2 linked regions of the Yarrowia lipolytica genome follow. The main gene of each other region encodes a partner of the protein of the gene in region 2 in a complex. Links are inferred from orthologs where the notes say so. Each region holds a gene or a part of one and is shown on either strand. Other genes may lie near its edges.

Region 1 (3,285 bases), on a different chromosome or scaffold from region 2:
AGGAAGAGCCCCTTGTGCAGAAGCTCCCTGAGCCCGATAGGGGCCGGGCTTGGATCGCCATGGTTGGAGGAGCTCTGGGTCTCTACTCATCATTTGGATACATCAACGTTGTGGGTCTTTTCGAGGCCTACTATCTGCATCATCAACTAGACGGCTACTCGGCATCGACCGTCTCGTGGATCACGTCTCTACAGTTCTTCATTCTGCTGGTTGGAGGAGTTTTCTTCGGAAGACTAGCTGAGATGTACGGGCCTCGGCCGGTGGCTATCGTCGGTATGCTCTTCACAGTGGGAGGAATCATGGCAACCTCTGAGTGCAAAACATACTACCAGTTCCTGCTGGCTCAGGGAATCTGCACGTCTATCGGAAACTCCTGTGTCTACTACGCATCAATGGTCGCGTGTAACACGTGGTTTGTCAAACGACGAGCTACCGCCCTGGGTGTGGTAGTTGGAGGTTCGTCGATTGGAGGTGTGACCCTGCCATTCGTCTTCTCTCAACTACAGCCTAAAATCGGATTTAATGACACTGTGAGAGTCATTGGATACATCATGCTTGGAGTGGGAGTCATCTGCTGTGTTTGCATCTCTTCTCGACTGCCTCCTAACAAGAAGTTACGAAAGAACTTCTTCAATTTCCGACAAGAGGTTATTGAACCCTACAAGAACAAGTCGTTCGCTATGATGACCGCGGCGCTGTTTGTTTCGTATTGGGGACTTGTCACAACCATGGGATACATGTCCACCCACGCTATTTCCCACGGCATGTCTGAAACAGTCTCCTTCTACCTCGTGGCAATCTACAACGGAGCCTCCTTTCTGGGTAGAATCTTGCCGGGTATAATGGCTGACAAGGTGGGTACTTACAACATGCATTCCGTATGCTGTGTTCTTTGTGGTATCATTCTTCTGGCTTTCTGGATCCCCTCCAACAGCAACGCGGCCTTCTTCACTTTCTCTGGAGTCTTCGGATTCATCTCTGGACCCTATATTGGTCTGTTTGCAGCTCTTGTGGCGGAAGTGTCCGAGCCACATGAAATTGGGAGGCGATTGGGTGTAGTCACCTTCTTCTGCTCCTGGGCAGCTCTTACTGCCATGCCTATTGCAGGAGCCACCCTGGACGAAGGACATACCAGCTTTGTCGGACTTCAGGTGTTTGCAGGAGTTACCATGATGGTAGGAGGATTCATGGTATTCGCAGCCAAGATGCTGGTCCCTGGACAGACATGGCTCTCCAAGTTCTAGCGTGGATGAAGGGCGAAGAAAACATGAATGAAGAGAAACGACAACTGGAAACTATAGAATCGCATTTAATATATGGAGTTTAGGGAATGATTGAGGCACAATTCCATCGTATACATTCACAACTATGGGAGATAGTTGAAATGGATAAAAAGGATAACAGAAGCTCAATACTGTAGTTGGTAGTGAAGTGACTTCGTCATTTTCACTTCTGCACGACTGTACTATTCTTGTTTTTTTTTCAGCATACTGTAATACCAACTTTCACTGTAAGTATTCGGTAAGTAAAGTGGTCAACTAATAAGGTTTGTCAAGTAACCGCTGTTCCTAGACTGCGAAGTCCGAGAACGGAGTCTGGACGAATACAACCGCACCGGTTATATTATCGACTCTTCTAAATTATTCTATTTGTTCCCTCCTACTCCAATTCCTTCACTCATCACCGCCAATATCAGTCCAAAAATAGCTCACTTATCACACGTATGCTAACTCTGTTGGTGGTGTGCATATACATCACCATCTCCTCAACACACCACACAAATGTCTCGATCGAACCAAGAAGCCCTGGCCGATTTCGTGGCCGACGCCCCTCCCGGAGAGGTGAGTATCAATTGTTGGCGGACGGATGTTGAGGATTCGTGCGCTGTCAGCACGGGCCTGATACGGAGTCTCCCCTGTATCAAGATGTACGGGTTATGTTGTCACGTCATTTACTTCGGTTGCTTGAACTTGAACTTGAAACGCGTGCCTTGATATCTTGCAGGCCGCTAATTAGATCCAATTGAACGTCTTTCTGTACCCCCATACTAACGCAGCTCAACCAGGTCGTTGAGGCCATCAGCACCGTCGTTGATGGAAACAGCTCGATTCTGTCCAAACTGGAAACCGACGTTCACAACAAGATTCTCGACCAATGCATGGTTGTGTCTCTCGGCAAGTCCAAGTCCCTGGTCTCTAAATATAACCAGCTTTCCAAGGACACCTTCTATGACAGCCAGAGTGGCCAGAAGTTCGAGTTCGATTTTGATACAAAGAAGGCCACCCCCTCGGGCTCCCATGGCTCTGACTCGCCCATCCAAGGGGCTCTCGATAAGTACTTTTCTGCCCACTTCCCCTCCGAGGGGGCTGCTGGGGTTTTTCCTCAGGATGACGGATCTATCGCCCTTGTGCTTGTGGATGGCAAGTATAACCCTGCCAACTACTGGAACGGAAAGTGGCGGTCTGTGTACATCTTCGAGAGTGGCTCTCTGAGCGGAACAATCGACGTGGATGTGCATTACTACGAGGACGGAAATGTCCGTCTCAAGTCCAGCGAGAAGGTGGACCTTGGTTCTGTGTCCGAATCTGACATTGTGGACGCCATCTCCAAAGCCGAGCAGCAGTTCCAGGAGAAGCTCAACAAGTCATTTAACGGTCTAAACGAGGATTCGTTTAAGGCCCTGCGACGACAGCTGCCCGTGACTCGATCTAAGATCAACTGGGGCAAATCCATCTCCAACTACCGGCTGGGTAAGGATATTAACGTTGGTGGAGGACGAGAGTAAGTAAACAGCGCTCTCTGTTTATATAGGATAAGGCTTTGCGTATTATGAGATCAGTACGTGGGTATCGGTACTGTGGTGTTACGATCAATCTTCTTAGTTATAAACACAGCGCCGAACGCGCTCATGGTACTACCAGTACTTCTACTCTCCTCATGCATTAAAAAAACTTGAACAGAAACCACAGCAGGAGAATGATGGCCAGAGCAATGCCAACAGTTCGCCAGATGGGGTGTCCGGCCTTGAGCGACCGTCCAAGCTTGGAAGCAGACCCTCGGACCGAGGTCATCATGTTTCCAACAGTGTCCGTCTGGGTTAGTAGGGTAAAAGAAGTGAGGTTTTGGACTGGGTGAAATGTCTAGGAAGGGTACAATCGCCCCGGTACTGCATTCCTTTGAGGTTCCCCTGCTCCACGATACAGGAAAAAGGAGTTGAAGCCAGCTGAGGACGTCCTAGACACATAATAATACCATAGATGAAACCAGCAGATCGAGAGAATGCCA
Region 2 (3,174 bases):
TGTCCAACCTTGCAAGCTCCATGTTTCTTGATGTTAGGCAACTCAGGACAAGCACCCTCACAATCACTGCATGCACATTTGTAAGCACCTGTTGCACAGTCTCGAAGAACAGGCTCCACGGGCTTAATTCCCTTGGGAGGGTAGTTTTTGTCCTTCTCATCTTCGGGCCAGGGGAAGTTGATTTGAAAGGGGGAACCTCCGAGCATGGGTTTTTCGTCCCCCAGAAACTTGAGAAAGTTCTTGTATCCGTGTCTACCGCCTCCTAACAGGTCCATGGCGTAGCCGTTGGTCGCCGAGAACTTGATGTCTTTACACGAGTCGTAGAACCCCTGAGCCCACTCTGGTTTCACATAGTAACTCAACTCTGTCACGATATCTCGTCCGTCTGTCGATTTGCCCAGTTGTGTCACATTAACGTAGTCGCGCTGGTCAGGGGCACATGTGAACTTGCAGAAGAATTCGTAAAAATTGGACTTGCAAGCCGGACACGATGAAATCAGACCATCGGCCTTCTTCAGCGAGTTCTTCAGATCCTTGATCTGCGCCGTATCACAACATAAAAGTTTCTCGTGTGTCCAAACCTCGCCGCAGATCTCTCCTAGCAGATCCAGATCCCCCTTGGAAGGCTCAAACGGACCAGCCTTGTCTTGTGGTGTCGGACAGGGTAGTTCGCTGCCGAATAGTGATTTCTTTCCACAGTTGCCGTATATGCTGCATCCTGCCGACTGAACAGGGCTTGTGAGTGTAAGAAACACCAGCAATACCGATATTACCGTCGGAATGAGTCTCTTCATCGTTCTAGTGCGTTTCGTGAAGACGGTTAGTTGCTCCACCAAGTAGGTTGGAACATGCACGATAATGCATAGGGTTAGGGAACACGGCGATGGTGAAACAGGGCGAGACAAGGTGGAAGATGGAAAGATGAATGGGTGGTGATATAGTAGACAATGCTGAGACGCTCGGTTCCGTTGGTAGGATGGTATACATTATCAGTCGAGATCTTGTCCATAAAATATACATAAAATATACATAAAATATACATAAAATATACCTCTGTATTACATAATCTGATAATGTAACTACAAGTCGCGATGGAAGGTGTAATTATTTAACTCCGGAGTATAGACAATACAAATTGGCGTTTGGTGCTTGGGTCGTGTTTCGAGATAAGGAAAGGCCGTATTTGTCAGGATTTCGTCGTATGCTGGTAAGTGTTTCCCGAGGCTCGGTATCAGTGTGTCATTCAGCCGTCTTCAATGTGTCATTCGGTCTTTTTAAGTACAACCACCAGTCAAAACGTGTCCCAGCTTACACTTCAACTACTTATTGGGTTATATTCAGAAACTGAATTTTCGCTATAAATTTTAATTTCTCTTTTGAAATTTTAGACGGGAGTTACTTGAAACTTAACTGAGGTAAATTAAATTAGTTTCACCCATGACAAAATAATGCCACAGATAGCAATTAGAACACTTATAGCCCTATTTAAAGGGTAATTAATGCCACCATTTCCTCCAACAACCTCGACACCCCCACACCCGCGACACTCACTCTACAACACCCTCCTCCAGCTCCCTACTTCTGCTTCTTATGTTCCTACGTTTTTCCCAAAATAAACTTTCCCCAATCCCACTACTTGTAGTAACGCACGACTAATGCATGCGGTGTTAACAGCAGTGGATATCTGAACATCATCATCACAACAGTACAGTACAGTACATACCCAACCGTCCACCATGGTGAGTAACAGACACAATTCGGACTGACAGTAAACATGGCAGTCACGTGGCATTGCGCCCCATAGATTCCACGTGATCTTCCTCCCCCCGGCCGTCGCGCAATCGCTAACCCAGTCTGACGAACAATACGACGCTGCTCTGTCTCTTCTGCGACGATTGGATCCCAAAAACGTCAGCGTCAACCTCAATTCCCTGTGCAAGATTGCTCCGGAACTTGCGGAGGACCTGCTGTCTTCCGTCGACCAGCCTCTCGGTGTCAAGACCTGCAAATCCACCAAAAAGGAGTACCTGACTTGCGACTACAACCGAGACGGCGACTCGTTCCGATCCCCATGGTCCGGCGACTACGAGCCCGCAACAGACGGCCCCACGCCCTCGGCGGCTCTGCGCAAACTCGAGGTTCTCGCCAACGACTCCTTTGACATCTACAGAGACCTGTACTACGAGGGAGGAGTCTCTTCGGTCTACCTGTGGGACCAGGGCGAAGGAGACAATACTAACAGCTTTGCCGGCGTTGTGCTGCTCAAGAAGACCTCGCCCTCGTCGTCCTGGGACTCCATCCACGTCTTTGAGGTTGAGACCAGCCGTGGAGAGGGGATCTACCGGGTCACATCCACCGTGATTCTCGATCTGGGCTCCAAGTCCCCCAAGCTCGGCCTTTCCGGTAACCTGACTCGACAGACCGAGCGAGAGATGGCTGTCGATGAACCCTCTCAGCATATCGCAAACCTCGGAAGCATTGTTGAGGACGTGGAGTCCAAGCTGCGAAACCAGCTGCAGGAGGTGTATTTCGGCAAGGCCCGGGACATTGTGGGCCAGGTGCGATCTCTGGGCGGCGTTGAGGACGCCAAGCAGAAGCAACGACAGGAGGAGGTCATCAAGGGTCTGCAGTAATGCAGCAATGATGGTATGGATATATAATGGATGAAATGACTAATTGGCGTGTATGTGTAGTCGTGACAAGTACAGCTGGGTTGCTACCGTCCGGCATGAGTCTTCGCAGTAACAGGCACCATCTGTAAGAGTGATACCGGTATCATAGCAGGGAAGTAGTTGGGTGCATCCGATTTTATCGTGTTATACTCACGTCTGTCTTCTCTTCAGTCACTACATATTGTTCCATACACACTGGCTACTCTCAATAAATAACTATTCTCGTCTATACTTTATCTCACTCTATTCTTGCACTTGTCCGTGGATGTGCTTGAGATGTTCATGTTTCTCCTTGTTGCTGGCGAAACCGACAATGGAGCGAGGACACTGTTTGTGATCGCAGAAGATCTTGAGTCGGAAAGTCCGATGTTTAACGTCAAGATGGGTGGCCAGGCGAACCACGTTTGCGAATCGAGTCTTTTTGGCGTACGAGCGGCATTTGGAGCAGTACAGACGTTCGCACGCGTCTTGCTGAGCACCTTCATACAGCCCATGTTCCAGG

Evidence for each region.
Region 1: YALI1_C28706g (region 2) and YALI1_E06137g share a complex: the UniProt entries of both Saccharomyces cerevisiae proteins name them as parts of the F-actin capping complex. The link is inferred for Yarrowia lipolytica from reciprocal best matches to the Saccharomyces cerevisiae genes CAP2 and CAP1.

What each region holds. Positions count from the first base shown.
Region 1 is NC_090774.1:612,512-615,796, reverse strand, and holds YALI1_E06137g (uncharacterized protein), read left to right. Parts: upstream 1-1,781; coding exon 1,782-1,841; intron 1,842-2,056; coding exon 2,057-2,785; downstream 2,786-3,285. Other genes in the region: YALI1_E06158g (uncharacterized protein), read left to right, coding at 1-1,244; YALI1_E06119g (uncharacterized protein), read right to left, coding at 2,943-3,092. UniProt on the Saccharomyces cerevisiae protein: F-actin-capping proteins bind in a Ca(2+)-independent manner to the fast growing ends of actin filaments (barbed end) thereby blocking the exchange of subunits at these ends.
Region 2 is NC_090772.1:2,869,299-2,872,472, reverse strand, and holds YALI1_C28706g (uncharacterized protein), read left to right. Parts: upstream 1-1,736; coding exon 1,737-1,739; intron 1,740-1,853; coding exon 1,854-2,633; downstream 2,634-3,174. Other genes in the region: YALI1_C28716g (uncharacterized protein), read right to left, coding at 1-794; YALI1_C28686g (uncharacterized protein), read right to left, coding at 2,916-3,174. UniProt on the Saccharomyces cerevisiae protein: F-actin-capping proteins bind in a Ca(2+)-independent manner to the fast growing ends of actin filaments (barbed end) thereby blocking the exchange of subunits at these ends.